4 linked regions of the Alligator mississippiensis genome follow. The protein of the gene in region 3 interacts with the protein of the main gene of each other region in a pairwise test. Links are inferred from orthologs where the notes say so. Each region holds a gene or a part of one and is shown on either strand. Other genes may lie near its edges. The genes, in order: CUL5, RITA1, GOLGA2 and PKP4.

Region 1 (7,986 bases), on a different chromosome or scaffold from region 3:
AGTATCACTGTAGCACCATGCCCTGCTAATAAAGGATTTTTCCCCTTTTACTGCTTTGTAACCTCTCCTTATTGACAAGCATTACATAGCATACACATAAAAAACTCAGCAGGCAGGCTTTAGGTGGCAACAGTTATAAAAACATTTTTCCAAATCTGAATGTCACATAACATAACATCCCTTTTTACAATCATGATGCTATGATGCAAAGTAGTACAGTAGAGACAGCAAGGAGCACAGTACAAGAACCTACATAAAACAGAAACTGGTAAATAAGGCACTGGCCTAGAAGTCAGGAGACCTAAATTCTATTCTTGGCTCTGCTGCTGACCTACTGTGGGACTGTAGGCAAATCACATCACCCTTCTATGCCTGTTCTTCCTACTCTTTGTCTTATCTGTTTCATCTCTAAGCTCTTTGGGGCAAGGAGAGTCTTCTTCAGTGTACATACAAAGCCCAGCACAATGAGGTCCTGATCTCAGCTGGAGTCTCTAAGTGAAACCTGTAAACACCTAAAAAGAGACACACATTTGATTACTTTGGTGTAGCTAGCAGTTGGGGTTTTTATTTTTACTTAATAATAATAATAATACTGTCTTGTGCCAACCTAAGAGATTAATTTATTGGCGAGATATATGGCTTAAAAGTGCTTAAATCTAACATGCAATCAATCACCACCTGTCCTAACCAGCAACTCTTACAACTGGTAGTGCAGCTACAGTGGTTACCACACAAAGCAAATAGGAAGGAGAGTGGGGCTTTAAATGTATGAAGTGGTAATTAATCAGAACTACAAAAGAGTTCATTACATAACTACAGTTAGCACGAACTATTTGCTGACATCTTAGGCAATCCTTAAAAGAAACAAGTCAGCAAGAGGTATCCAAAGAACAGAGCCAGAAATATTAGTTGAAAGCTGAAGAGTCTATGCGTGTCTGGTGTGGTCCAGGTTGATCAGACAAGAGACGGGGATGAAAGAGAACAGCTCAAACAAGCGGACCAGTAAACGGGATGAGATTAACTACTTAAAAAGGGAAAGAAACACAAAAGGGCAGGAATTAGTTTAAACCCCATCCTGCAATAGACTTTCCCCTCCATACAGTGCCCTACTGACTCCAATGAAACTGTACCGATGATACAGCCTGCTTGCACCGACTCTCAGGCCTTGTCTTTACTAGGATTAAAGTAGGGTTAACTAAACCTGACACACTCAATCACATGGTCTTCTGTACATGTCCCCTAAAAATGCCTGCTCTTGACCTTTTCTTTCCTATCTTTTAGGGCCATCCCTCCAATTTCCAGAAAGTTTAAAGAGATATACATATCATATTCTGGAAGGGTATAAATGTACTGCAAAGCAAGCTTCACTTCATGCTAGTATGCTTTATGGAGAACAGTTTGCTAAGCATCAGGAAGGAGTTTCTATTTATTGGATCAAACTCTTGTGCAACTTTTAGCAGTTTTTGTTGCCTCAGTTTCCTCTTTGTAAGAGGCCTTATATTTGGCTGCCTTTTATAAAGCTCTCTCAACTGTTCTGATGAAAAGTTACTACTTAATTTTACTTATTTAAAAGCACTGTAAGACATCAGTAATGCCTCTTTCAGTCATATTTCTATACCACCTTTGCCAAGAAAGCATCACTGTATATTTAGAATACAACTGCAACTGTTCTTTGAAATGAAATGTTTATGAAAAAGTCATCACGCTACACCTAAGCCTGCTGCCATGCAGAGCTCCCTGAACGGTTAATGCCTTACACTGTTCTCTCACTTAGTAGAAGCATTGTTTTCCAGTAGAATACAGTCAAATCCGGTGGGCCAAGTGTCCTTACATCTGCTTAAAGGCTGTGTAATTCTGTTTCCACAAAGGAAGTGTGTCAGTATCCAATAACTCCCAAGCACGCTGCAAGTAACATCACACGGCGAAAGAGCAATGATCAAATGGGACACTCTAGAGGTGTCAAACTCATCTGACCCTGGGGCAGCATTAACCCCCATGGATACTGGCTCCTCTGACAGTGTAGCTCTGGCAGTTAAGGGGGAAGGTTAATACTGTCATCATCGCAGACCTGCATCCTCAGCAAGGATCCTAAGTTGGGAATCTGGCAACAGGGTAAGCAACAGCAGTGTTAACCCCCGGCCTGGGGGCTGATACAGCAGCCACGGGGGTTGACCACTACTGCTGCCTGCCCCACTGCCCGCACGTCTAGCCCCACAGGCGGGATCCGGAGACCGCAAGAAGCCCTGTAGGCCGCATGACCCACCTCTGCAGGCCAGATTCGACTGTGACACACCACACCGTCCATACACCACGTGCTGAAACACCACTCATCAAAACAGTACTCAACTTGCTCTCCACATCCCTGGCGTTGCTTCTCAGGAGACCACCAGGTTTGTGCAACTCCCTACCCCGCCCCACGGGTCAAGCGATCGGAGCCACATCCTCTGCCCCCGTCCGGGAACTTGGCACCCCTTCTCCTCCGGGTGCCAAGCCCCCGTGACTCGGCCCTTTCGCAAGAGGTCCCCAGCCCTCAAGGCCGCTCCTTCCCCAGCAGAGAGCAGGGCAATGTGCCCCTCGCCCCCGGCCGCAGGTCGCCTGGCACCAGGCGCCGTAACAGGTTGGCAGGAGCCACCCAGGGAAGAACAGGGCTGCAGCTCCGGCCCCCGCTCCCGTGCTACCCACGAAACAGCTCCGAGACCCCCCCACCCTGCTCGCGGGCCCCACGCCGGGAGCCCCGGGCCGGGTCGGGCCGGGCCTTGCGGGCGGCGCTGACCGCGGGGCAGCGGCCAGGCCCGGCGGCTCTTTGTTCCCCGCGGGGCCCGGCCCGGCGCCGCTCTCACCTTTAGGAGATTAGACGTCGCCATGTTGCCCCGCGGGCCCCGGGCGGCGGCGCTCCCGGGCCGGGGCTGGGCTGGGCTCGGGCCGCCCCCGCTTTACATGGCCCCGCGCGACCCGCCCCTGCCCCCGCGGCTCCGCTCGGGGCTCCGGAGCGGCCGGCTCGGTGCTGCCCCCCCCGCCGCCGCTGCTCAGCGCCTCATGGCGGCGCCCGCCCAGGACACACGGCCGCGGCCCGGCTCCATGCGAGGGGCGGGCACGTGAGGCGGCGCCGCCACGGAGCGCGCGGGGGGGCGGGGCGGGGGGCCTACGGCGGCGGCAGCGCCCTCTGCCGCCCGGCGGCCGCCTCGCCGGCACCCCGGCCCAGAGCCCGCGGGAGCCCCCGCCCCCGCCCCCGGCAGCAGGCGTGGCGTCGGGCCGGGCCTTGGGCGGGGTGAGCGGGGTGAGGTCGGGCCCGTGCACCCCCGGCCCTTCTGGATCCGGCGCACTGCGGAGCCCGGTCCAGCTGCTGCTTTGCACACAGCACCTGTGCAGGGCGGATCTGCCACCCGCTGCATGTGTGTGTGGTGCCCACCCGGGTCCCCTGGAGCACGTGCCACGTGCAGCGCAGAGCCTGGCCTGGCCGGAGCCGGCCCCACATGCAGTCCAGCCCTGTACTGGTTCCTTCGTGGGCTCTGGGCCGTGCAATCCTGCATCCGCTGGTGGGGTCCAGTCGGGTACAGGCTGCATGCAGAGACCAGGTCAACACCGCAGCACCGGGGCCGAATGATGGGGCGCCACTGGCCGGATCCAACACGTGCGCCACGTCTTTGACACCCCTGCTCTTAGGGAACCCCTCCATCTATCATTGCTCCTTGGCCCTCTCCATCTTTCCCAGGGAGACCTCATCCCCTTCCAGTCTCCCAACCAGGAAGGTCATAATTTGCTGAGGACTCAGCATTTTTTTAAAATTCTTGGGAATGGTAATGCTGTGGTTGAATACAAGTTACTTTCAAATTAGAATGGTTGTTTTCTGTTAGATTAATTTGGGCTTTGATTTAAAAAAAATATTTTTAGATACTGAAAACTTAATTTGCCCAATTTTTTCCCAAAACTTAAATATTTCAAACAAGTTACTGCTTTCCACAAAACATGTTGGCTTTGTTAAAGGTTTGTTTGTTTGTTTAATGAAAAATCCATTTAGGTGAAAAAAATGTTAACCAGTACAGCTCCAAAATTAGAAAATGCCAGAATTTAGGTTGCCCATGAAACTGCAATTTGGTTGTTTGGGCTTAAAGAGCGTGATTCAGTCTTTATTAATGGATCACACACTATTTGTTTATAGTGCCTACCACATTCAGGGCACAGGCTCAATAGTACTCTGGGGATGCATGGTCGATGTGTAAGTAAGTAGGGTGACATCCTGGTTTAGCTGGGACAGTCCCAGATTTCGTAGGCTGGTTGGTGAAAATTGAAACAAAAGTCTTGGAATCAGCCACCTAGGCAGAGGCAGGTGGGCAGGGTCGTGAGGCGCAGTCTGGTGGGGAGCTGAAGTGGCATGGTGAGCCAGGAGGGCCAGCAGGCAGGCAGGCACTGCTGCTGCTGTGTAGGAGCAAGGCGGGCCTCTGCCTGCAGCACCGCTGCTGACTTCGGGGTGGAGGAGGTGCCACCTTTACTTGAAACAGTGTCTCAGATTTCCTTAAAAGAAACATGGTTACCATACGTGTAAATGATAAAAGTATGTCTGTAAGACTCTTCCCTGGTTTGCAGCAGAAGCTAGTGAAGGAGGGAGGACACTGCAGGAGTAGGAAGAGTGATCTTGTGGTTAAGGCAGCTGACTGCTGGTCTGAAGATCTGGATTTCATCCCTGATTCTTAGAGGGCAACTCATTTAAACCACATTTTTCTAAAGTGACCACTAAACAGTTGGGTCATTTTCTAGTTACCCATCTTAAGATACCACTGGCATCACTGACAGGAAGGAGTGTTATGAGCTTACAACCAGAACTGAAGTCAATGGCAGCTATGCACTGAACATAACATTTTATAATTACTCTGAGAACTCAGGCTTTAGGCATCTTAAGTTTCTCTCATGGTAGCTCAGATCCTCATTTATAAAATGGAGATAATACCCCCATGACCCTGTAGGTATGTTTATGAAGATAAATACAGGTTCGTGAAGCACTGAGGTACTACAGTCTCATCAGCAAAGAGCCCAGGAGGAAATAATTTTGCATTTAATGAAGGGTCTGAATGATAGACTACGAGAGCAAATCTTCAGGCATTCTTTGATTCTTCCATTTGAAGATGAATGCTTTACAGAGGACCCTTATAACTAGATGTTACTAGTTTGCACTCAACTTTCAAAGACAGGGAATCATGCATCTTCTTAGTAAAACAAGTAATGCAGGCAGAAAACATTATATACAATGTAAAATAGGGTTGTCAAACATTGCCCACAGATCCTTTCTATCTGGCCCCCTGGACCAGTGTTTCTTAACTCATGGTACACGTACCCCTGGCAGTACGCAAGACACAGGCAGGGGGTACGTGGGTGCCATGTTTTGAGTTTGGCCCACCCCACCGCCTGGCGGGTTGGAGGTGTCTTTGCCTGTTCTGGCCAGAAGTTCCCACCGTGTTCAGTGCACCAGGGTTTTCACTCCCCAGTGTCAGTGTGCCGGGGGACAGGGAGGGAGGCCTCGCACAGACTTCTTTGCCCTGGGCTGTGGTCCTGGAGGAAAAAGTGGGACTCGGCTTGTAGCAAAACCGGAAGTGCTATGGTGGGACTTCCGGTTTTGCTTTTGCCACATTGATTGGCAGGAGGTATGTAAGGTACCAAAGTTTGAGAACCACTGCTCTGGACTACTGGCCTGCCACAGATGGCAGGGCCATTTTACCCAGCTTGTCATGCCAATTGATGGTGAGTTTGGATCACCGCTGTGGCTGCCTCCAAACTTTTGGACTCCCCCTGCTGCTGGACCCACTGCTGCATCTAAACTCCAGCTCCTGCTAGACCCCTGCCCCCAGATCTGTCCCCACCTCCAGATCCGCCACTGCTGTCTCCAGACCCCTTGCTGCCACCGCAGTTGCTGCCACCCTGGTGGTTGTCCCTGTGCTCCAGGCTGGATCCAGCCTGCAAGGAACCCTGCAGACCAGATTTGGCTCAGGGCCCCATATGAGTTTGCCATGCCTGGTGTAAAACACAGTAACTATCACCAGAAGTCTATGAATAATGCTAAACAAAAACTATAAATCAGTTAGTATTCTGGCGTCTCCCACACACATACACACTTTTAGCCATTCCATGTATTTAAATATAAAGTTGTATTATAACATTTGCATTTCAACACTACAGCCCAGTGAGGACCAATTTTTTTGGCAGATGTATACATCCTCCCCAGTGCCACTCCATTCCCTTTCCCCTGCCCAATCAGTTGCTCTGCTTTCTGCTCCTTGCCTTATGTTCCCTGCCTGATCTGCTGCTCTGCCTCCTGTTCCCTAACCTATCTGCCACTCTGCTGCCTGTTTCCTCCCCGGCATGCTGCATGCCACACACACAGGCTGCCTGTGCCACTTGTGGGACACATGCCACAAGTTGGCCAGCCCTGGTTTAGCACATCCTTATAAATGCATTATTTCTTTCTTATCTCCTTCCAGAGATGATTTCTCACTTTGACTATAACATAAGGTATAAGTCATCTGCACTCTTCAGCTTCAGAGCGTAAGAACTGCAGCTTCTCCATTCTCTCCAAGCAGTTCAGAATTTGTTGGCAAACAGTCTGAAGTCTCTGCAAGTAGAGTTTTATTGCCTTAGCTGATCCTCAGCTTCTACAAAAACAGAGGTCTACAGCCAGTATCTTAAGTGGTGCAGGTACTATGATCAACACATATAATATCTATTCCCAGGAACTCTACATGGTTTTAAATCCATCTTTTACCCATAAACCCAGCTAGTTAGGTAAAAATATATAAACATTTGCTTTGCTTAACTTCACTCAGCTTTGCCTGTTCTCTGTTTAACAGAATCATAATCCAAACAAGTTGTCTAATAGCTAAATATAAATTCCATAAACAAAGCCTTTAGAAGTGACAATTATTCCTTCCTAATGTTTCCCCTGCATGCATTTAACACATCACAGTGGGCTAAATATCACCCTATCAGAGCATGCTTCTAGTAAACTGGAACAGCACTCCCCTGTAGCCAGAATGATATCAATATTAGGCCCAAAGCCCTCTTAGCCCTCCTACCTCAATCAGCTCCATAGTCTATGCTATTACGACATCCAGTCCAAGACTTAAGTTCCAATCACCTGAGTTTGCTGACCAGACCTGAAGGTTTGCCAGTGAGGCTGCTCTTGGCTTGTCCCCAGCAGCTTATCTCAGGCCAATTAGATGTAAATAGACATTGCCCTTTGCCCTGGAAGAGAGCATTTTGCCCCAGGATCCTATAGTAATACAAGTCTATTGTCTTGCTTCAAGTTCCTCTAAGGCTCCTTGGGAGGCTGCCATGTGAGTCTGTAGGGTTATTGCAGGTCATTCTAGAGACAAGGTGGCCAGGCTTTATGGACACTGACAGAAGTGACAGTTGTCACATGATCAACCTCCTGAAAGTGCTCGACAGTCCTGCCATGACACATGTGCATGACTGCACAGTGCTTTAAAAGTGGCTGATCACATGACAAATTAACCCTTGTCTAGTGAGGGATCAGATGAAGGTGCTTCGAAGTGGAGCACCTAGGGAATCTGTGTTCCCTGGGGTCAGTCTGTCAGTGCAATTGGGCTGGGCTGCATCAGCTCAGTCCCACCCCTAGGGCTATCTGCAGGAAAGGATGGGGGGAAAAGGGAGGGGAAGGGAGCTGCTGGCTGGGGTTTGCCTGGCCTGAGTTGGAGGGGGATGGGTGGATTGGAGCTCCCCCCCATCTCCTGATCCCCCTACCCCTTCCCCCTCCAGTTCAGGACTGGCAAACCCCATCCTGCAGCTCCCTTCCCCTTCCTTCTTCCCCTTCCCTTCCTGCAGACAGCACTGGAGCTGGAAGGGGGGTGGAGCACAGAGCTAGGGGAGGGAGGCTGCAAATAGACCTCTCCACTGGTTCAGCTCCAAGGTGGAGTTTGATCCCCCCAGCCTTGACTCAACAGGTGAACATCTGTTGTGTATGTGGGGGGGGTCACTAAC
Region 2 (7,760 bases), on a different chromosome or scaffold from region 3:
AATCCCAATTTTAGACAAGGATCAAATAGACAAGAGGGAAGTGGCAGAACCCTTTTCACGCTCTTCCCACAACTGTGCTGGCCAAAATGCCAGCACAGCAATGTGCAGGCTAGAGACAAATGCATCCTGGTGTTTCTGGCCATCTACATTCTTTGGGCAAGAATAGGGAAGGCAGCGCTGATCCCTTCTGAGGACCAGATTGTAGATGATTTCCCTGCTCACTTTCTAGCCTTTTGTTCCAACCCTGGCTTTGGAGCCCCTTCAGTTGCAGGCCTCCTGTTCAGCAGAGCTGCTCCCATGGGATTCAAATACATCAAATGCTGTCTTCTGTTTCCTTGGAACCCTCAAAAAAGGAGATACTCTTCTTTACCTACAAGTCAAAGACTAGAGTGAATTGCCTCCAGATTCCAAGAACCAGCCCAAAGATCTCTACTGTACCTGGCATTGTAATCAAGGCTGAAACTGAGCCAGAGAAATGGGGTGTAGCAATGCCCATCCCCACCCTAAAAACTGCAAGAAACATGGCACATTTTTTTCTGCTCCTTCATTTATTTACAAGCATTTAGCACAAGGCTGATACAACAGCATGCCACAACACTCAATATAAATTCGCTCTTTCAACCTTCAGCTGTCTGCTCACAGCCAGGGCTGGATCCAAACCCCACTGAAGCTATCAGGCCTTCCATTTGCAAGATGATGCTTTAAAAAGTAGGGCTGCACCACATATTTCAGGACACCCAGAAATCTTATTCCTTGTCCACTTGCAAATTGTCTCTTTCCTTATCCTGCTTGAGCCAAGACAACCCCTCGCTGGAACCTAACAGGAAAGATAAGGCATGATTTCCTGCTGCCCCAGATCAGGTAAAAGGAGGTTCCCCAACCTGCAGCCATAACATGAGGTTCAGAGGAGACGCATCTCTCATCTTGCTATATGCACTGTTGGTTGATGAGTGTATTTACATATATACATATTTTAAAGCAGTAAATTCATTTCCAGGGTGGTTTGGGCTGGCATAAGGCTGTTGTCCTGGGTACCCTGGCAGAGGACATTCCTAGTACACTCTTAGACCGAGCCCTTGGCAGAGAACCCTGGGAGGCTACAGAGGCTGTCAGGGAGCGCTGGTTTTGATGCTTGCCTGTATTTGGACTGTCTGCAGGTAGCCAGAGCTGATCAGAAGGCCTGTATACCTGGGTAAGGGACTGAGAACGGCCCCGGTTGAGGTTGCCTGGACTGACAGAGTCCAGACCACTCTCAGGCCATTTCCAGAAAGAGGTTTTCCCTTCTGTCTCACAATGGCCTAGTCTCTGAGATTTGGGGGTCTTTGGGTGAACAGCTCTCAGAGGGGTCCCCTTGGAACAAGAGGTAAGGCTTGAGGAAAGGCTTGACTGGGTCCTGGGAACAGATGAAGGGGTCCACAGGAGGGAATGGAGTTTAGCTATATCTTCTTTCTTCATCCGCCGTGCTGCCCAGCCTGGCTCGTCAGCCCTTGAGCCAAACAAAGATTCATCACAGTAGGATGGAGAGTGACTTTTCAACCTTCATTGAGAAAGAAAGGGGTGGGATAGGGGGAAGAAAATAATTACTACAAAGAGAATATAGAGTAGTGGCCATTGCATGCAGAGACCTAACGATCACTCAGAAGGTGCAATTAGCAAGTGAAGCACACTTGTCCTACTTAATTTCCATGGGACTCCTAAACTAGATACTTTTGAAAATTCCACCCAAAAACTTCTTTTTAAGGAAAGAAATATTAGGCAAAAAACCCCTTTATGGTATATTTCTCATCCCTACACCTAAAAAAGCTTCACAAAGAGAGAGGAGTCATTTCCATTTTACAGATGGGAAAACAGAAGCCTATCCAGATCAAGCAACTTGCCAAGCAAAAACGGCAAGTCAGGGGCAGAGACAGGAATGCATCCAGATCTCCTGTCCTCACACATGGCTGTGCAGTAAGTCAGACTAGAGAGCCTCTCACCAACCAGGATGAGCTCCCTTGCCTCCAGCTATCCTCACTGGCATCCTCGTCATCCAAAATGTGGATGTGGATAACCTGGAAACGGTTCAGAGGAGGGCTACTTGTATGGTTGAGGGGCTGCAGGTAAGACCCTATGAAGACAGACTGAGAGATCTGAATCTCTTCAGCCTCCACAAGAGAACTGAGAGGTGATCTCGTGGCTGCGTACAAACTCATCGGGAGTGGATTCAGATTGGACATCAGGAAGAAATTCTTTACAGTGAGGGCTGCCAAAATCTGGAACGGGCTTCCAAGGGAGATGGTGCTCCCCTTCCTTGGAGATGTTAAAGAGGAGGTTAGACGAGCACCTGGCTGGGGTTACCTAACCCCAGCGCTTTCCTGCCCAGAGCAGGCGGTGGGACTTGATCATCTAATAGGTCCCTTCCAACCCGAGAAATGTATGAAAATCCAGCTCCCCAAACCCACGCTGCCCTTCCCAGCCCTGTCCCTGCTCCCCGCATTTCTCCAAATGCCCCACCGTTTCCACGCTCAGCCTCACAGGCCGGGGCGCCCGCCCAGTCCTCTCCATCTCGCCCCTCTGGCGGCTCGTCCAGACCGCGAAGACGGGTCACGCTCACCACGCCCCAGGCCCAGCGAGGCAGGGGGCCAGGCCCCGCAGATCACCCAGTGCACCGGCCACCCGTGCAACAAGCGCAGGCAGCAAAGCACTTATCGCGCAACAAACGTGGACTGGACACACGTGCAAAGCAGCTGTCATGCAAGTCACGGCGGGGCCCGGCACCGACTCACCGGCCCGCGCAGGGCAGCGCTCGCGGGGGCGCCGCCCAGGGCGGCTCGAAGGCGGGCGGGGCCGGGCGGGCCCCCGCGGGGCGGCCGAACAACGTCTCGTCCACGAAGGACGCCCGGGCCCGTGCCCAGGTCCTGGCCCTGGTCCTACGGCCGCCGCGGGCCGCGCGGGCGCCGCTCACCGCCAGCTCCGAGCCCGCGGGCGCCACCATCTCCGCCGCGGTGGGCGGGACCTATTCCCCCCGCAGCGGCGGTGGTTGCGCCGGGGGCGGGGCCTACTCCCCCGCAGCGGCGGTGGTTGCGCCGGGGGCGGGATCACGCGGGACGCGCACGTGGTGCCGGCCGCTTCCGCTTCCGTTTCCGGCAGCCGTAGCCATGGCCCAGCCGCGCCGCCGGCGTCGGCGTCCGTGCGTGCGGGCCGCCCCGGGCAGCGGCAGCGAGGAGGAGGAGGCGGGCGAGTTCCACGTGGAGGCCGAGGCCGGGGCTGAGGCGAGCGCGGGGCTGCCGGTGCGTGCGGGGCCATGGCTGAGGGGTCGGCGGCTGCCCCGAGTAGTGGAGCGGGGCGGGCTGAGACCCCCGCCCCGCCGGTCTGTCTTGGCCCGGGCACAACTGTCTTGTCTCCCCCCGAGCAGGCGTCCGCCAAGATGCTCCCGGCCTTCCCCACCCCCGATTGCGCCTCGGACGTGGAGCCGGACACGAGGGAGATGGTGCGAGCCCAGAACCGGAAGAAGAAGAAGTCGGGGGGCTTCCAGTCCATGGGTGAGCGGCCCCGAGGCGGGCAGGCAGCAGTTGCCCTGGGGTGGAGCAGGCCGTGGGTGCCTCGTGGAGGAGCCAGTGGTACCAGCCTGATTCAGGCCTGTGCCTTGTTGGCCTCTGGGCTGTTGTTTTTTATAGAGCTGCATTATGGCATTTTTTGTTAAGAGAGCGGGCAGGCTCATAGCAGGGTACAGTTCGAGCCTCCAGCATTGCCTGGCTCCGCAGACTCATGAGTTCTGGTCCAGAGAAACCTCCATAGGCCCTGCATTCACCTGAGTCCAAACCATGTTCATGAGCTTTTATGTACAATTATCGGGCCTAGATGCCTCTTGTCGGTAGGAGCCAGGGTCACCATCTAGTCACTGGACTCCAGGCACTGGAGCTTGAAAAAAGAAGGCCAAGTATTACAGGGCTTGCACTGAAGTCACAGGAGCTGTCTGTACTGTGCTCTTGGTCTGCAGTGGGCACTTACTTATAGAATCATAGAAGTAGGGTCGGAAGGGACCTTGCAGATCTTCAGGTCCGACCCCCTGCCTGAGCAGGAAGAAAACTGGGCTCAAATGACTCCAGCCAGGTAGGCATCAAGCTGCTTCTTAAAGACCCCCACGGTAGGAGCCAGCACCACTTCTCTTGGAAGTTGGATCCAGATCCTAGCCGCCCTGACTGAAGTAGTTCTTATGGATGTGTGATCTAAACCTACTCTCCAACAACTTGTGGCCATTATTCCTTGTTATCCCGGGGGGCGCTAGGGGAAACGGTCTCCCCCAAACCCTTCTGGTCCCCCCTAGTAAGTTTATAGACAGTCACAAGGTCCCCCCTCAGCCTTCTCTTGTGAAGGCTGAACAGGTTCAGGTCCCGTAGCCTCTCATTGTAGGGCCTGCCCTGCTGTCCCCGGATCATGTGGGTGGCCCTCCTCTGGACCCTCTCAATGTTGTCCACATCCCTCTTGAAGTGGGGTGCCCAGAACTGGACACCAGTACTCCAGCTGTGGCCCGACCAGTGTCACGTAGAGGGGGAGGATCACCTCCTTGGACCTACTTGAGATGCACCTGTGGATGCACGATAGGGTCCGGTTAGCCCTGCCAACCGTGACCTCACATTGTCAGCCCATGTTCATCTTGGAGTCAACAATGACTCCAAGATCCCTTTCTGCCTCCGTGCGCTCAAGAAGGGAGTTTCCCATCTTATAAGTGTGCTGCTGGTTACTACTGCCCAAGTGCAGCACCCTGCACTTGTCCGTATTGAAACGCGTCCTGTTTTTGTTAGCCCACCCCTGCAACCTATCTAGGTCTTTCTGCAGTCTCTCCCTCCCTGCTAATGTGCCCACCTCTCCCCATATTTTGGTATCATCAGCAAATTTGAACAGGTTGCTTTTCACCGTGTCATCCAAATCGCTGATAAAGAAATTGAACAGTGCTTACATGATCATATTTGTCTTCTAGGCTTAAGCTATCCTGTATTCAAAGGTATCATGAAAAAGGGATACAACGTGCCAACACCCATCCAGAGAAAGGTGAGTGACAGGTTCTCAGATATATGGTATGTTCACTGGCTTCCTTAGGTTGCCTCCACAGACTTGTCCAATGTCGCAGGTGGAGCAGGTTCCCCAGCACATCTGGAATGGATTCCATAGGGTGAATCAACAGTGTTTCTTGGTTTTATCCTGCAGAGCATCCCAGTGATATTAGACGGGAAAGATGTGGTGGCGATGGCCCGGACGGGCAGCGGGAAGACAGCTTGTTTCCTTATCCCGATGTTTGAGAAGCTGAAGGCACATAGCGCGCAGACAGGAGCACGTGCCCTCATCCTCTCACCAACTCGTGAGCTCGCCTTACAGACCATGAAGTTCACAAAGGAGGTATGGTCCAGGAAAAGCAGCCCCTGCTGAGATGGGGGCTAGAATAGCTAGGAGCCCTCGCTGTCAGGGCTTGAGCACTTGTAGTAATACAGGGAGGCAATGCGCTGCAGCCATGGGTGAGGGAGGGCTTCTTGCATGACACTTAACCTCATTGCCATGGGATATCATTGAAGCCAAGAGCATAAGAAGATTGTATAAGTAGAGTAAGAATGTTCACAGATACCGTAGTGAGGTTGCCCTCATCCTTTTGCTTTACCTGTGGGTAATTAAGGTATTCTTGGTGTTTTGGTGTTGTGCCTGCCCTTTGTATGAAAAGGTTGTTCTCAGTGTCTTTAAAAACAGTCAGGCAAATGCTTGTCTAGGATCCTGTCTGGAGCAGGGGATTGGACTAGCTGACCTAATTATCAGGTCCCTTCTAGCCCTACTTCTCTTTCAGTTGTATGGGCATGTAAGAACCTGAATAAGGCAGAACTAGATTTAAAAAAAAGAAAGAAAGAGGGAGCCACTTTTATGAGCAGGGTGTTGGGCAACTATCTGAGATTAAGAGGGAATTTTTCCTTGTAGGCCAGATATTCTGTAATTGTCCACTCTCTGACCCCCTTGCAACATCCCTTTTGAAACATTGGGTGCTGGCTGCTTTCAGAGTTCACTTGCTTAACAAGGATCCCAAAGGCCCATCTTTCCTTAGCCTTCCTGGTTAAGCAGGGCTTGGCTGCTGCTGCCATTTCTCTTGAGCACTTCCTGGAGTTGCTGTGTGGGCATCCCATGAGTGACAGGGAGTGTACTTGACCTCTCTGGCAGCCAGGGTTAAAGCCAGACCAGCCAGTGCTCAGAGAGAGAGAGCGAGCAGATGGATATAAGAGGAACAAGACCAGAGGGAGAAAGTAGGCAGCTTGATTGTAGTTACAGTCAAGCCACCTGCACCCTGGGGACCTCAGCAGTTGAAGATGTTTCATGGGCTTGGAGAGGAGTAGGAGCAATAGGTGGTTTGATATCAGACTGCGCTTTAACTCTCTTTTGCTTCTTATCCTGCAGCTGGGCAAATTCACAGGCCTGAAGACTGCGCTGATTCTGGGAGGAGACAAGTAAGCCCATCACACTGCAACCAAACTAATAGCCCTGGTGGAACTGCCTCAACCCAGGCACTGGTGGGGCCAAGAAATGCCTGCAAACACTTAACCTAATGTTTCTGCTAAGACTCACCCAAACTGTAGTAGAAACTTGTAAAAAGTTGGGCCTGGCTCAATTCTAGCAATGCATTGACCTGGGCTAAGGGTACAGTGTATCTAGAGAACTAGCAGCTGGCTCTGGACTGGCATCTGATATCCCCTGCATGTAGGATGAACTTCCCCCCAGCCTTGATCTTATTTACATGTGTACAAACACACAGGGTGAGAGCCCCTGCAGGCTAGGTCAGGGGGAGTATTCTGCTGGGCAAAGTGTCACTCACTGCTGAGCTTGTTCCTTCCAAGTGATCCCTGAAAGTCTGACTCCAGGCTTGCAGCAACCTGTCCTTAACCAGTACCATATAACTGAGGATGTGAGGCTCCATGCAGTATGGTACACAGCCTCCAAGTGATGCTCAGCTGGGTGCCCCTTTCTTGCCCCAGCACGGAGTCCTGAAGCCATGGGTGCTGTGGTGCATTCTGCTGGCCATTATTATCCACCCCTTTCTCCCTGCAGGATGGAAGAGCAGTTTGCAGCTCTGCATGAGAATCCTGACATGTAAGTTGGAGCAACAAGGGTGGGTACTGTGTTCTCTAGATGTGCGGGCAGGAAACGGTAGCACAGGCTGGCACTGAACTCTGACTGGGACTTTTCCCAGTTTGGGAGTGCTGAGCTCTGAGAAACATGTCTGCCACCCACATGCACTCCTGTGACCTCCCTTGCTACTGCATCTTCCTCAGGAACTTACCTGGAGTGAGTGAGGCACAGGGGGAGACTCAGCTTGAGCTGTTGCCATGTGTCCACCTGTTCAGGGCTCTTCCCAGAAGTGTGGCCTTGACCTTGGCCCCTGAAAGTCCCAGTTACAGACTCTGAGCCTGTTATGCAAGGTGCACAGCAGGGTCCAAGAGTCGGTGCATCCTCGGCATGACTACACTCACCCTGGTGTGGGCAGAGATGCCCAGTGGAAGCCAGAGGAGTTATGCACTCACTTTACAGGCCATCTGTCAGAGTTTCCCACTAGGCCTGTGCAAAGCAGATAGTATTTGATTCGGGGGACAGTGATTCGATTCATTGGTTCAAATCACTACCCCGAATTGATTCAATCGAATCGCCCTGGCTGCCCCCTAGTTTCCAGCACTTTGGGGGGGGAAAAAAAAAGCCCTGACTCAGCAGGTGCTGCTGGGTGGGGGGGTGATTCCCACTGCCCCACGCTGAAT
Region 3 (7,902 bases):
CTCAGGAGTTCTACCAGCAAGACAACTGGGAAGAGAAATTCGAAGTATAGTCTGTAATGAGAGAGAGAGCAACTTGGAAATCAGTCTGAGGCCCTGGGCATTGTTATCTGCAGCCTCCAGGATGAAAATCTGTAACAGCTACTCAGTCCAAAATGCACTGGTGCATGCAAAGAAAGCAGAGAAAGGCACTTGGGACATGAAGACTAATGGAAGAGTAACGTTTCCATATTCACAACAGCACAAACACAGCAGGTATGGATTAGGCCCTCATTTTGAGATTAGCCACTGACACAGAAAAATTATTCGTACATCCTACCTCAACCTGTCCTTGAACAAGCATCAATTCTCTTTCTGATGTGTCCATCTGATAAGCTTAATATAAATTATATTTCCAACGTGCTGCATTCAACCCCACAGGAAAGCACCTGTCAAGTGCTCTTACCATGCTAGCGCTGCTCTCCCATATAACATCCCACAGAAATACCCCACTTGCAAGAGCTTTGTGCCAGGCACTGCAAGTCTCTGATGGGAGAGCTGCTGCATTAATATGCAAGGAAAACTACTGAAAGTCTTATTTTATCTATCACATCATGCAGGTTTCACAGCAGAGTCCTCTACTCCACCTGGTGATTAACATAGTTATATCTATGGGTAGAGCAAAAAGAAAAGGATGCAAGGCAGGTATAATGATATGCTGGACTTGAAAGCTTAAGGTGAAGAGAGTTGTGGACACTATACAAGTTGATAGGTAATTGAGGTTTTAGGAAAGCAAGAACTAAGTACTTCCTGAATCATCATGTTTTATTTTGCATTTTCTGTGTTTCTATCAACATTTTAACCTTCTTTAATTTATGAGACTACTTTTATGAAACATGTTGAAAATTAAAAGGCTGGTAGAAGCTTGCTCTCTCATACTTGTATTTTATTATAGATAAGAATCTTCCCAGTCCCTTTGCTGCCAGAACTACAGGCAACATGAAGACATTAGAGCTAGTTAACACTTGCTACAAAGTATCTGACTTCCTGCCTAGACAGATTTAAAACCATGCTACTTGCCAGATTGCATCACGTGTGCAAATTTCATCACCTGTCACAAAATGAGCTGGCTGGAATAACTACACAGTTTACTTAGGGCAACTGCTTGATTAGAGATGAGCAAGAACATGTCCTTCAGAGATGAGGCACTAATAAATAAAACAGCGACATGCAAACAGGAAGATCACAGATCTAGAAAATAAACCCAGTCTGTGGCCCAGTTTGAACAATGTTTTTATATGCCCCATGCCGCATCTTTGTGGGAACAAAGTGTATGGGGAAAAGGAGTGGCGAGGTGTTTACTACTCATACCATCACCCAGGATCCCCGATACAATTCCAAACTGCCTGATCTCACAAGTCTATCTTAAGGGAAGCTGGTACATTTCACATCTTTGCGTTTTAAACGTGACACAAATCAGAAGGAAACACACAAGTAGGAGCAACAAAGAGGCACATTAAAAGGAAAAAAAAGCTCAAGGTTAATGAAAACAGCAACAAAACTCAAGCAACTGACAACAAATATGCCTGAATGAAGCTTCATCCAAAAAAATCGAGAGGCAGTTTAAAGAGAACTTGAAGCATGCAGTAAGGACAGCAAACTAGTCAGAGGGATGCCGAACACTGCCTCACCTTCCTCTTGTCCAATGAGGGTATGGCTACCCCATTGGATCGATTAAGGTCTGACACCAGCACCTTCAGTATGTTCTGAATCTAAAGGAAGTGAAAGAAAGTGGAAAGAGAAATGGCTCAGAAAGACAGAGTGAGACACCAATCAAAAGGTGGGCTGCAACCAAAGGACCTTGCATTCACTCTCCCTTTACCGAAATGGATGTCGAAACATAGGATCAATCTTAGAAAATGAGGGCTGGAGGGGACCTCAGGAGGTCAGATCTAGTCCAATCTCCTGCTCAAAGCAGAACCAGCCCCAACTAGATCATCCTAGCCAGGGCTTTGTCTACCTGGGTCTACAAAATCTCTAAGGATGGAGATTTCACCACCTCTCTGGGTAGCCTGTTCCAGTGCTTTACCACTCTCCTAGTGACAAAGTGCTCCCTCATCGCTAACCTGAATGTCCCTTGCTGCAACTTGAGACCCTTGCTCCTCGTCCTGTCATCTGCCACTCCTGAGAACCGCCATCCTCTTCGTTACCCCCGCTTCAGGGAGTCCAAGGCGGCTCTCACCCCTCATCTTCCCTTCTCCAGGCCAAACAAGCCCAGTCCCTTCACTGCTCGTGTGCCCCGACCCCTCACATCCATGTCAATGTTTTTCTTGCTGGGGTCACTTGATCCCAGCTGACTTCCTGCCCATGGCAGGGTGGTGGGGGCTGGACTCGATCTCACGAGTCCCTTCCAGCCCCCGATGTCTATGAAATCTATGAAATCCACACTGCGCACTCTGGAGTCAAGAACGGCTTCGCCAGCGGACCCGGCCCCAGCCCGTGGCGCCGGGTCCCGTTAGCGGCTGCGGGGTGCGGACCCCATCCGTCCCCGGTGTGTATCACGACGCAACCGGGCAAGCGCGGGACACTCACGTTCTCGGGCGACGGCCTGTCCCTGTCGTCGGCACCGGTCGGCGTGTCGGGCCGGCTGCCCTCCTTGTTCTTGCGCTTCTTCTTGGCCGCGGCCACGGGCCCGGGGCTGTTCTTCTGCTGGAACTCCTTCAGCTGCGGGGGAGGCGCGTCACCCGGGGACCAGGCCCGGGGGGGGGGGGGGCGAGGCCCGGCCCGGGGGGGGAGGGGAGGCCGAGGTGGCTCGAGGAACAGAGGTTTAAATGGGGGGGGGGGGGCCCGGTGACAGCCGCCGCCGCGGGGGGAGGGGCTGGTGCGGCCCCGCCCGCTCGGCCAAGGTCACCGGTGCCCGAGGAGGGGGCCGGAGCGGGGGGTGGGGGCGTTACCTTCTTCTTGGCCGCGGCCAGCTTGCTCTGCCGGCTGCCGCCGTCCGCCATGGCCGCCACGTCAGCGGGGGCAGGCTCCGCCCGGCACCAGACACCAGGCACCAGGAACCAGGCAGGCGGTGCCCGCCCCCGCGCGCGTGCGCATGCGCGTGCGCGCCGCCTCTCCCGCTCGCGTGCGCGTGCGCGCCTTCCCTCCCTTGCCCCGTGCGCATGCGCGCTGGCGTTCCCCTTCCCCTCCCTAGTGCGTGCGCATGCGTGCGGCCCGCTTCTTTCGTCCCGCGGTGTGGTGTGCTCTCAGCCTTGGGCTCCTCCTCGGGCCTCCCCTGGCGCGGGGACTCCGGCCACCCCCTGCTCCTTGTTTAGGAAAAGGCACCTGTCACAGGGCTCAAAAGGGGGTTGCTGGCAAAATGCCTCCAGGTCCTGAAGGAAATATGCCATATTTGTTGCCAGGAGAAAGGCAGGGCTGGGGGGGAGACACACCCAGGCCTCATCCTGCTTCATGGCGGTGGTGAGCTCGTGAGGGGACACAGTCACACCTCTGCCTGGGATCTGTGCAGCATATCTCTGCCCCGTCTGCCCAGGTCTCTCCCTTGGGCCTTTGGGATATGAAGCAGGTTCAGGGGTCGCCTCGTACAGTGTTAGGGTTGTGGGGTTGAGGTGGTGGGTGGTATAGGATGGTTTGGACAGGACTCATCCTGCCTCAGGCGGGGTTTGGACCAGATCAGCGGTTCCCAATTTGTGGTATGGGTGCCACCAGTGATACGCAGACCACCTGTCAGCGGTACGTGTTAACAGATTTATTATCATTACTTTATCCGACAAAATTTGCTGATGGTACGTAAGGTTGAACTGAAAAATGTGCCGGTGGTACTGAAGGTTGCATCGTTTTAAATTAGCGGTGCGCAATCTCTCAGAGTTTGTGAATGGCTGGACTAGATGGTCTCTGGAGGTCCCACCCTTTGTGATTCTTAGCTGTGTGCCGGGCTAATTTCTCCAGGAAACAGTTGTGCCTTACAAATTTAACCTGGTGTTTATCCAGTCTTGTCAAATCTCTCTAGGTTTCTCTATCATGCTTGAGCCCTGCCTCTGGGATTCATGGTGTGTGGAGGATGTTGCTTTTTTTTCTGGATTGAATCTTGAATTCTTGGACCTCCCTCCTTTAGCTTATTTCCTTTAAGCGGAGTAGGCCAGATCAGGTCAGTAGTCCGTTGAATCTGTTATCACTGCCTCCAGCATTTCCTCAGGGGTAATGTTTCAGAGAAAGATGAGTGTCACCACTGCACATGCGGTATGCTCACACAGTTATACCGGGGTAAAGACAGGAAGGAAGCTCTTCCTGACATGTGCCTAGTGCAGTGCAAATGGTTTTCTTGTCTTGCCCTGGGTTTGTATTGCAAGAAGAAATTGAGAAGCACTAGTGAGAACAGGAATGTAAACATCTGTATAATTGGGTGTGGTTCAGGTTTTCAAGCACTGAGAAATGTGACTCATTTTAAACTTTGGTTCTCCTTCAGCCAGCTGCTGTTTTTTTAGTATTTGCCTGTATTGGACATTTTGTCCAGTTGGGATGTTGAGATGTGTGTTCCACCAGGGTTAAACTTGGGCATAAGATTTCAGAGGAATGCTCAAGGGCTGCAAGTGGTGGTATTGCAGCAGGTGTTTCCCTTTCTTCTAAGTCACCATTGAATCCAGTCAGACATGGTATGGTGCGTGTGCTGTATGAAGGGTGGTGATGATGGCACTCTTTTCCTTTGAGACTCAGTTCTGAGTCAGCTTCTCAAGCCTATTAAAGGATTTTGTGCTTAAAGAGATGCTGCCTTTTGGATGAAATGCAATATTTAGGTTTTGACCACTTTGAAAAAAACAACAGTTATGGTATGTTTGTAAGAATTGGAATTTTAACCCAGGTGTCCTGTCCTCATAATTATTTGGATAGTTATAATCTGCACCAGCTAAAGTTTCGGATGCTGTTTCCAATGGAAATAAATATTTTTTACTATTAACTGTTGTGGGGGTGTTACTTTGTGCTGTTAAATAGATCTTTGTATTTTACACCAGAGGTTGCTGCATTTCAGTGGTGGGTAAAATATGTCATTTGTATATCAGCTGTTTATAAAGTATTTTTGTAGCCTTCCAGGTCAAAGTTAATATATAGAAATACTTTGGTAGAATACAATAAGTTACAAAAAATGAATTTTGTTAAAAACAAAGTGCTTGGATACAGGTATATTTTCTAAGCCTTGAGAAATTTAAAAATGAAATAGATACCACAGGACAGGTTGTCTTCTTGATTTTTGTTTTAAAATTTCTCAGGGAAGCTAGCAAATAGTATGTTCATATCAATCGATTTATCCTGCTTCACTTATGTGATGAAGACTAATTATTTGTGCAGGGAATGTTAGTCAAGCACACCAAGATGAGCACTACCTAAATGATAAGTATTGTTACATGTAACAGGGGTATAGGTTGTAGCTGTGTTGATTTAAGGACATAGGGAGACAAAGTTCTTTGGGTAAATCTGGTATTTTTTATTAGAGCAACTCAAATTTTGAAGTGTAAGAATAAACACTTGACACAAGCCTCAAGTGTCAAGAAAAATGCTTGAAGAGCTGTCAAACTACTATGATGTAATTTTCCAGCTTTCTCTGTTTCTGCTGTGCTCATGCCAGCTCTGTAGACATGAAGAGTTAGACAACAGATACATAGCCCCCCACAGTGTTTCTTCCTACAAGTTGCATGGTTTTGGAGGATTAATGAAATAATTGCTTCTGGGTCTCTCTCCCAGTTATACATCAATGGATGTTGTAAAGCTCTCTGAATTCACTGAGAAGCAAGTAACATGTACAGGTGAGTTTACGAGCTCATCTTCACATTCTTGATCCTGTTCTTCCTTAATATGTAAACTTTAAACTTGATTTGTAATAGCAGTCAGTAGGATTTTGCATACTTTGAAAAATAACTCTTGTGTCTTGCACTTCAGAAATCTTAAATCTTTTACTTCATTGTGTGAGACTCGCATAACGTCTTAGCTCTGAACAAATAAGAGGTTAGACAGCGGACTCAAATATATGGTTTGGATAGGGCTGAGCCTGCCTCAGGCAGGGCGTTGGACTAGATGACTTCTGGAGGCGCCTCCCAGCCCTACTTCTCTATGATTCTGTGATAATAACTATTACCCAAACAGCCACAGTTACACGTCTAGTACCAGGCCTTATCTTATCTTTGGTATATTTTGCTAACTGAAGGTGATTTAGAGATGGCAGAGTACAGAACCTTTTCAAAATTAAATCGGAGTGGGAGCTGTTTATAAAAGGAAGCTGAATGCAAGATAAAGATCATGCAAGATAAAGATGGAAAAGATCTGCACGACTGTGTGACCATCTCAGTCTGTGTAGTGTTTCTGCCTACGCTCATGATGATTGGATGCAGGCTGGTTCTGCAATACTCAAGCAATGTGGTTTTTGTCACAAGGCAGACAGTGAGGGTTTCTATCTAATACCCCCTGCTAGGAGAGATTGCATGCAGGCTGGTTACATCTCTAATCTCTCCTAGCAGGTTCTTTCAGTGCATGTTATATATACTGTAGTAGTGCTGGACACATCACAAGGACTGCACCATTACAACCAGGGGTAGATCTAGGATTTTAAAAAGGGGGGTGTAGCTGGTGCATCGCATCATCACATATAACATCTATTTTTCTCCAGCTAAAGAGAAATCAGAAGCTTTACTAGTTTGCTAGGGGCCTCGTGCTCTATTTTTCAGTTTAAGATCAAAGTGAAAACAAACAAATCTGTATTGGAATGTGCATTAATCTGCTGGGTTATATATAACGCTTTAAAAAGAACACAAGAAATGAGGCAAAAAAGGTTAAAAGATGCTTTTTAATTAGTCCTGAAAGTTAAATGTCCATGTCTTTTTAGATTCACTGAACAAAACCTGGTTTTCCTGAGTGCCTTGACAGCACCTCAGCACTTCACTGGGGGTCATGTCTACACCTGAGATTATATAACCACACCTAAGTGAAGGTTTTTAGCCAGAGCTAAAACCAATCTACAGCGCTGTGAAATAGAAGAGACACAGGACCAGGAATGGCAAACAGACTGCAGCATTGCAGAAGAAAACATAGGTTGCACAGTGGAACATCAAGACCATTAAAAAGGTCGTTCACACCTATGGGATGAAGAGACATTAGCAGGAAACAGGTAGATGATCATGAGCGCTGAAGTCAATTAACTCAGTGCTGCCTGACCCAAAATGCCACTGCCCCTCCCAGGCAGGTGGTGTTACAGTTTGGGTAGAGCAGAAATCAAAGGGAAGGGGGGCGCAACTGCCCCCCACCAGATCCGCCCCTGAATTCAGCCCATTGCTTCTATCCTGTGCTTATTCCAGGACCCTAAACGCAAGTGACAGGGAAGGAGCAAGCTCGAGCCTTCCCCCTTCTTCCAGAGGAGAATCCAGGCCCTGGCAGCGGTTCACCAGGCCAACATGCCTGCCAGCCCCTAGACAGGCTGCAAGAAACCCTCCGCGCCCCGCCCTGCCAGCCCCAGGCAAGGTCAAGAAACTACAAGCCCCAGCGGGCCGAGCGGCGCCAGGCCTCCACAGCCTACATGTCCCTACAGTCGGCTCCCCAGGCGACGGGCCACCAGCTCCCGGTATTCAAAGCGGCGTCAAGCCGCCACTAACTACAAGTCCCAGCAGCCCCTACAGCTCCCAGCATGCAAAGCGGCGGGGAGACCGCGCGGGCAGCCCTGGATGCCCGCGAGCCCGGGGAGCGCGGCGCGGCGCTGCGGCCATTCCCGCGCCGGTACGAGCTCCCTCCCTGCCCCGAGGGCTCCGCGCCTGCTGGGGCCACTGCTCCCTCCCCTGGGCTCGGGGGGTGCCTGGCCCTCGGTGAGCCCCAGCCCCCCTGGGTGGTGCAGCGCAGTGCAGCGCGCTCTGGGGAGCTGCTGCTGCTTCTCGAGGTGGGGAGGGA
Region 4 (7,920 bases), on a different chromosome or scaffold from region 3:
ATTCCATGTACATACTTTATATACACATAGCATTTCACAGAAAAAGTGTGTCAGGCAAGGTAGGAATGACCTTATTTAATTATTATTGGAAAATACTTAGTGCATTGATTGAACCAACTAAATTAAAAATGCACGTAGCATACTGCAAGTGTCCTTTATGAATATTTTTTAAAAACAACTGAATTAATACAGCTTCCAAGGCAAAAACTGTGGGAAGGGGAGCAGGGTTGTTCTTGTTTTTGCTTTTGGGGTATTTCTCCCTCTGAGAATAGATGTGATTTGCAAGATGATGCTGTTCACCAAAATATGTATTATGTTCCAATAATCTTATGCTCCAATTTTAAGTTTTAAAAAGAATTGCCAAAAATAATTACCACATTAAAAAATAATTCTACCCCCCCACCTCCCCCCGAAAACTATTCAATAAGGCAAAAAAAGGTTTATTCTCCTTTCCTGGTCTCCCTTCTTCAAGTAGGATTTATAAAAAAATTTACAGTCATCAAGAGAATTAAAGGCAAATTATAAAATATTACTACCTTTACTAATACCACACCTATTGCTTCAAGCAGTTAGTTTTATACATAATTATATACCACATGCTGGTTTGGACTGCTGTTTAAAATATTAGTATGTAGAGGAAGATTAGAAAGGAAGCATAGAATAGTCTTCTTGGGACTACATACTTAGAAAATACAACAGTACATTTGCCCTATAGATTTTTGTGTGTGTGTTGGCATCTGAAAAAAGAGCATTCTTCCCCTCCCTCCTTACTTGTCCCCCCTGCAAAAAATATAGTGTTCCTATACACAATTTAGAATTTTACACTGGGAGCACCCATTGATCACAGAAATATTAGTTTGTGCTGCAACATCTTAGACTCAACAACTTCAGAATTCGTTTCACTCTTTCATTTCTTCCCCTCTCAGAACCCCTAATCCAGACAGGGTAGACATGCTCTACCTACTAAATCACGTCTACCAATATGCCTACACTTTTTGTATGACTCCTGCCGATTAGTATACACACAGGCAAACTAGTAAATGCAATCCATCCTCAGAGGCACAATGTGTCAGCTATAAAACATCTGCATGCGTCATTACAGTCAGTCAGAAGTGCTTGTTTGAAGGTATTTGTCATTTTTCTTCCGTTTATTTTGCTTATTGATCAGGCAGGAAAATCCATAGCTGTGCTCCCTATATTCAGCAACAAGGAATATTTTAGGAGTGAAAAATATCTCTAAGATTTGGGTACTGATATGTGGTTGTCACATGGGAAGAGAGAGCCACACATTTAATCCTTTAGTTGTGCTCAACACGCATAGCAACTAACAATCATCTCAGACCTTTTGGATTTAAAGCAGTTCAATAATGCTATGAGTTTACTGGAGAAATATATTCCTCTTTTCTTAACCACTCTCCACACTGATTAACAGATTCCAAATAGCTAAATTTATCCTTCTGATCATGATGCCCTAGTAACAAAACTGTCCAAAACAATGTGTCAAAGCAGCAGCAGGCATAACAGTCCCCGAATTGATTTAGCTACTACTATGATTTCTTTAGATAAATGCTATGTAGACTTTGACTGATTTGTGCCAATGCTCCTCCTGAGGTTTCCAACTACAGGGTCTTGTCCCTCTACAAAGGGTTAGACCGATTGCCATGTTTGGCAACAGAAAGGAATTTTACCCCATGGTCAGATCGGTCTGGGCTGTAAGGGGGTTTGCCTTCCTCTGCAGTGGAGGCATGGCCTTCTACCTGGGATCTCTTGAGCTTGTACTGACATTTCATAAAAGCGAGAGGTTGGCTGTTGCAGTCCCCCTGCTCTACCTGTGGCAGGTTAGGGTGCCAAGTCTGTATTGCATCATATTCGATGGCAGTCTTACATATGGATTGTACAGGACGGTTTGGATAGGAATGATCCTGCCTCAGGCAGGGGGTTAGACTAGTGTAGTCACTAGATGACCTCTGGGGTTCCCTTCCAGCCTGACTTCTCTAAGACAGTCTACCATTGTAATTATTACCTTTTAACTCACAGAGAAAGAAAAGCCACAGACAAAAAATAACCGCTATTAGACCACGCTCAGGAGCATTCTGCTACCAAAGTTGGCAAAACCTCTTCCTCCTCCGCTCCTCTCCCACCTGCTCCAAATCACCCCCTGGCAAACACCCAGAGAAGCAGCTACGATGGTTTGAGCAGCAGAATGAAAACTCCCGTCGGGCTACAGAGCGTAACGGTGGGAGAAGACATGGTGGCAAGCGGTCTCCTGCCGCGGTGCTGCCTTGTCTCAGCTGGTGGCCGACACGCCCCGTGCACAGCTCCCGGTGCCAGACCGTCCTCTCTGTCCCATCCCTGCCACAACACTGCCTCTCTGTTCCTTCGAGTGACGTGAGATATGGGGGTCTCGCTGCGGCTCAGGAAGATGAAAAGCCGCAATTCAGGAGACAACAAGAGGTGTCCAGGCACCGACAGCAATTTCCCACACCCTGCAGCCACAAGGGCTAGGGGAGGCCGCGCTGCGGCACCAGGCTGGTCCGACCTCCCCGGAGCCCCAGCATGTTTCAAGCAGGAGCTCAACTTGGCGCGGGAAGCAAAGGCCGCGGGAGGAGGGGGGGGGGGCAGAGTCCAGGACTGATCTCATGGCGGGCAAGTGCCGCGAGCCTCTAACCTGAGCGCGGCGCAGGCGGGCGGGGAGGCCGCCAGGCAGATGCTCCGGGGCCCTGCGGCTGCGGGAAGCGGGCGGGCTCCTTCCCGGCGCGTTCCTCGCATTCCTGCGCCCGCCCGAGCCGCGGCTCGCACCTGCCCAGCCCGGCAGCGCCCCGCCCCGTGCCCGGCCGCACGCGGGGGCCGAGCACAGCGCGGGCTGCGGAGCCGAGCACTGGCCACGGGGCCGCGCCGGAGGAGGCTCCTCGGGGCAGCGGGAAGGGAAGGGACGGGACAGCACGGGACGGGACGGGGCGCCCAGTCCCCGCGCCCGCCGCACTCACCGCGCAGATGCAGGCGCCGGCGGGGTCCGGGCGCGGACGGGCCCAGCGCAGCCCCCGCCGCGCCGCGCGCCCGGCCCTAGCCCGGGGTCTCCATGGTGCCGCCGCTGCCGCCGCGTCCACTCCTGGCCGCCCGCTGGCTCCGCCCCCCGCCCCGCGCGTCACGCGACGCCCTGCCCCGTGCCCCGCCGCCATTGGCCGAGCCCCGCGCAGGGCCGCGCGCCATTGGTCGCTGCCTCGTGTGAAATCAGCCAATGAGGCGGTGACTTGAGGTTGCCAGGGTTACCGATGCTGTGAGCAGGCTGTGTGGAAGGGGCTGCGGGTTCTCCGGGCGCGGGTGTGTGCGGCGGCAGGTTGCGGGTCCGTGCGGGGGAGGCGGTTGCGGGTCTGTGGGCGGACTGAGCCAGCCGCGCTTACCTGCATCTATCCCTCCTCGCTGCTGCCCTCCGTCCAATCTCCCCCCGCCGCTGCAGTCTCAAATCCTGCTGCTGGAGACGTCTCTCTCTCTCTTTCTCTCTCTCTCTCTCTCTTTCCCTTTCTTTCTCCCCTGTTTCCCTTAATTTCCCCAAATTCCTGGGATCCAGACCTGAATCAGTGACTGACTTAATGTCTGATATTTTGTGACCTTTAAACACCGAAGTGGTTAAGCCTTGGGCCCCCTCTCGCTCTCCTTGGTAAAAATTGTCGTGCTGTATCTATTTAACTCCCTCATGGGTGAAACTGACTTGGCTCCCTCAGTATCAAGGCCTGGGGAGCCCCTAAAACTAGAGGTCTTGTCAGTTCCAGGATCCTTACTAAAGACTTAGGCCACTCCGGAAAAACAAGGCCGCAGGCCTTAATGAGGTGTAGGCTACTCCTGTGAGTAATAAGCAGTGTTTATACTGAATTTTGGGGTAAGTGTTTAGCTGTCTTTCTGTGCTGTGGCTATGTCCTTCACCTTATTCTTGGGTGGTTACTGTATGGCAGTTGAAAGACAAGGAATAGCTAAACATGTCAAGCGGCAGATAACAATCTTTTGGAGCCCCTGGTGGAAATAATCAAGCTTCGGTCTGGTCTGAGGTGGGCCAGTGTCCCAACCCTGCCACCGCTCTTCCCTTCTGCTTCTTCTCCCTACCCCTTAGGTGCAGCACAAGCTCACCCCTTTCCACCTGATCCTGGCTCAGCTCCTTGCTGCCCAGCACAGCTGTGGGCAAGGCCCCCTGGCTCTACAGGCAGGATCCAATGGCTGCAGAGGCCAGGTGTGGCCTGTGGACCATATATTGCTGACCCCTGAGTAAAGTCATCTATATTTCTGAAGGAGGAGGGGCATCTCTTGCACATGTGATTTCTGTCTTCCCACCTTTTGCTTCTGAAAATAGATATACCGATTGGTTCTGTATTTCCTCCTGGTTACAGTTATAAGTTTTTTGTCTCTGTAGTGTTTGTTATTGCCATAGGTTAAAGGAGTCAGCAGGAAGAAATCTGATCAAACATCTGCAGGGAATAACTTGGTGTGTATAAATAGGGTTGCTGATTCTTCACAGTTCCAGATGCCTTTCTGACGCTGCCACACCAGAATGGTGGCCTAATTGCAGAAGTGTCACTGACTATCCAAAGTGCAGGGCAATGGAGAATCAGGCCCAAAGTGTTCAATCTGTGAAATCCCACATGTGTAAGAAAGCAAGGTTAAGGGGGAGGAAACATGAGTCAATAGGGAGAAGAGAAACATGATTAAAGAAAAGGTGAGTGGCAAAGAGGAAGGAAAGCAAGTTAACTGAGAAGAGGTACCAGAAAAGAAAAGGGGAGTAGAAAATGGAGTAGCAATTGTGGGAGGAGTAATAGAAACGGTGCTAGGGAAAGAAAAGAAATATCTGTCCCTCCAGAAGCTAATTGGTCATAGTTGCTAAAGATGACTGGATTAACTACATCAATATTAAATCAATGCAGGCAAACTGCTGCAAAACTTGAATGATCAAATTGGCTTAGCTTTTACTGGTAACTTCTCAGAGTAGTTCAGTGCCTTCCTTTACTGTGGACACTGAAGCACATCAGAGCATTCAACTAGTGTCAGCCCTAGTGGAGTGAAGGGACACTCGTAAAAGGCCGAGTGGCTGTGAATTAAATGCTGGGGAAACTTATGCAAGTACAGAAATGGAAAAAGTCCAGGAGAAGGATAAAGCACCTAGGAAGCCATTGCAATGGCCGAGGTGGCTGTTCAGAAATGTGTGTTCTCTTAATCAGAAAAGTCTAAATTACAGTTCATAAGATGGAACAACCAAAAGACAACTCTGTCCTGAGGGAATAAATCAATTGTTTGCATATGTTCAGCCCTTCACCGGAGTCAAAACTCTGGAGAGTGACTTCTACTGCTGGTAGTGTTGAAGCCCGAGTTCCTCTTCTACTTGATCTTGAGACCCAAAGCCTAAGAGATTCTGCTTTAAGTTCAACTTTGTAGGGCAGCAACTCTTGTGAGAAATCCTACCTCCAGTTAGTGGGGAAGGTAGACAGTCAGCTGAGTTGTAGCCTGTAGTGTCTAACACACTGTATGTGGGTTCACGTGCCTCTTTCCTCCTAGATGATAGGAAGGAGACAGTGGCAGGACCCAGTCCCAAACTCAGACCTCCCAAAGTTTTGGAGTGTCAGAATTGTATGTGGGTACCTAAAAATCAACCCATACCATCTAAAGAAGAAGATAGACATGTCTAATTTCTTTTTCTTTGAAAACTAATGAAACGTATATGTTGTTTGGTTATGGAAATACATACTGTAAGAAACTTCAAATCATAAGAGGTTTTAATATATGCTCTGACTGGGAAAAGTGCTAAAATGTTCCCTGTTACCTGAGGAGCACTTCCTGTTTGGCTTTTTTTTTTTTTTTTTTTTAGGGAAAGAAAGATGCATGTATTTTGTGTAAATCTCTATTTTCCTGAGTTTCCCCGGTCATGTTATCTTAGACCCACAGAATTAAAGCAAAAGAAAGCCTATTGGATAAAATAAGCACAAAGCAAAAACCCATTCCCCCTCCTCCCTCTCCCACTGATAGCCCCAGAGCTTGAGGGGAGGGGAGAGGCAGGGTCCCATCTGCTGGCCAGGGCAAGCAGGCTCCAGCCCCTACCCCTCTGTTGGGGCAGGGCCTCTAACTCATGGCACTTTACATAAAGTGCCACGAGTTAGAGTGGGGCCGTAAACATCTGTAGGCACCCTAGATGTGGGTTGGCTTCTTTGGAAGTAATAGAAAGACAAGGAATTATTTTGTGAGGTTCCATTAGGTTTGTAAGGGTGTTGAAGCACTTCTGTTTTACCAGTGAAACACAGTAAGTTAATGATAACTAGTCATAGTCACAGGGGTTTAGGTTGTAGCCATGTTGGTCTAAGGACATAGGCAGACAAGGTTCCTTGGGTGAATTTGATATCTTTTATTAGACCAACCCAAATGGTTGGAGAATAGTTATTAAGCAAGCTTTCATGCATTCATGTATTTAAAAAATAAAACCAGTGATCCCTCTTGTTTATTTAGCTTAAGATTCTATATGAAGCAAAGATAAGTTATTAGGTCAAAATATCTTCTATAAAGAAATCCAAACTTGATGTAAAGATATTAAGAGCTGAAGTATTTACCCTTTTCCTTGATGTGCAATTAAATGGTTAATAATTTTACTCGTAAAAATCCTGGCAGCACTTCTATTTTGAATTTGTCTGGTTTAAGCTTTCATCCTTTAATTCTTCTTGTGCCTTCTTCAGGATTTGATTTGTGAGTATTTTTTTACAGTCTCAGTGCCATTAGGAAAGGACCTTGCCTCCACTGTATTTGTTAGCAAATACTATGTGAATCTTTGAGTGTATATGTCCTTTCCCTCTTAAAGCTACCTGGATTGCTGTGACCTCTTCATCTGATCTCTGCCAGGATTCATTGTATCTTTCACTTTTTTGGACAAGAAGTTTAGTTGACTGCTATTTGACAGTTCTATTCTTGCTATGATTCTTGCATCTTTCAAATCATTAATGTTTTTCTGCTTCATTTAACCTGCCCTGGAATTAAAGCCAGATTCCAACTTGGGCTTTCACAGATGTTCTCGGTGCTTGAAGAATATTAGCATGACCAGTTTTTAATGTCAGTTGATACTTCTACTTTTTCACAACTACCTGGAATCTCTTATTTGAATGAGAGCAAGAGAAGTACCTTTGCTCATAAGTAGGTAGAGTAGTAGCTACATAGGACCTGCTTTCTGGAAAGGAAGGATTATAAAGATAAATAGCAGTCTTGAAAACAGTTCTGCTTTGTTCTTCTGGTTTTGCTTAGCTGTATTTATTTTATCTATCGTCTAACTCAGATGCTGAAGTTACAAGAATTTGAATATGTTTTAAGTATTTGGAGGAGAGAGTGCATCTGAACAAATGAAGAGCTATTTAGCATTCACAACAGAAAAAATATAAATTATTTTTCGTTAAAACTTAGTTTGCTTTAAAATGATTTTAAATATTTTTGGGGGGGGAATGGAGATAGAGGGAAATCAAGACAATTGAAACTATTATGATACACCTTTGGCTCATTTGTAAACCACAGTTGGTTAAAATGCAGTAAATAGTGAGTGTGAAATAAATCCAAGTTAATAAGAAGTTTGTTTTCCAAATATAATGTCACAACACTGAGTTGACATTTTTTTTTTCCTCAGTGAGCATTTTTTTCCCATTTTTTTAAATGGTGCCATACCTCACTATTCTACTTAATTTTATTTGGTTACCATATTTCTCAGCCTATATAAAATCATTTTTGAGGAATACTGTCACCTAGTTACTTCTTAATTTAGTTTCTTGCTTTGTTGAAGAATCAAGCTTGAGCATTGCAGTCTCATTCCTACTGGGTGCTGAGCGCAGTTCCGCAGAACACTGTAGGGTACCAAGCAAATCTACTACTTTGGAAGTACTGCTTCCAACCCACTAGAATTGCTTAGCACTT

Evidence for each region.
Region 1: the proteins of GOLGA2 (region 3) and CUL5 interact in binary tests that used the Homo sapiens proteins (3 or more experiments, as listed by UniProt). The two-hybrid records come from large-scale screens. The link is inferred for Alligator mississippiensis from reciprocal best matches to the Homo sapiens genes GOLGA2 and CUL5.
Region 2: the proteins of GOLGA2 (region 3) and RITA1 interact in binary tests that used the Homo sapiens proteins (3 or more experiments, as listed by UniProt). The two-hybrid records come from large-scale screens. The link is inferred for Alligator mississippiensis from reciprocal best matches to the Homo sapiens genes GOLGA2 and RITA1.
Region 4: the proteins of GOLGA2 (region 3) and PKP4 interact in binary tests that used the Homo sapiens proteins (3 or more experiments, as listed by UniProt). The two-hybrid records come from large-scale screens. The link is inferred for Alligator mississippiensis from reciprocal best matches to the Homo sapiens genes GOLGA2 and PKP4.

Annotation. Positions count from the first base shown.
Region 1 is NC_081824.1:437,106,045-437,114,030, forward strand, and holds the start of CUL5 (cullin-5), read right to left. Parts: upstream 3,065-7,986; 5' UTR 2,865-3,064; coding exon 2,841-2,864; intron 1-2,840. UniProt on the Homo sapiens protein: Core component of multiple cullin-5-RING E3 ubiquitin-protein ligase complexes (ECS complexes, also named CRL5 complexes), which mediate the ubiquitination and subsequent proteasomal degradation of target proteins.
Region 2 is NC_081833.1:26,042,359-26,050,118, forward strand, and holds RITA1 (RBPJ-interacting and tubulin-associated protein 1), read right to left. Parts: upstream 3,011-7,760; 5' UTR 2,975-3,010; coding exon 2,766-2,974; intron 1,538-2,765; coding exon 988-1,537; 3' UTR 530-987; downstream 1-529. Other genes in the region: ATP-dependent RNA helicase DDX54, read left to right, coding at 3,138-3,269, 3,395-3,521, 4,961-5,031, 5,188-5,376, 6,412-6,461, 7,060-7,101. UniProt on the Homo sapiens protein: Tubulin-binding protein that acts as a negative regulator of Notch signaling pathway.
Region 3 is NC_081835.1:57,572,606-57,580,507, reverse strand, and holds the start of GOLGA2 (golgin subfamily A member 2), read right to left. Parts: upstream 3,030-7,902; 5' UTR 2,982-3,029; coding exon 2,931-2,981; intron 2,701-2,930; coding exon 2,569-2,700; intron 1,749-2,568; coding exon 1,668-1,748; intron 1-1,667. Other genes in the region: DNA repair protein SWI5 homolog, read left to right, coding at 7,646-7,734. UniProt on the Homo sapiens protein: Peripheral membrane component of the cis-Golgi stack that acts as a membrane skeleton that maintains the structure of the Golgi apparatus, and as a vesicle thether that facilitates vesicle fusion to the Golgi membrane.
Region 4 is NC_081827.1:222,273,481-222,281,400, forward strand, and holds the start of PKP4 (plakophilin-4), read right to left. Parts: upstream 3,096-7,920; 5' UTR 2,988-3,095; intron 1-2,987. UniProt on the Homo sapiens protein: Plays a role as a regulator of Rho activity during cytokinesis. May play a role in junctional plaques.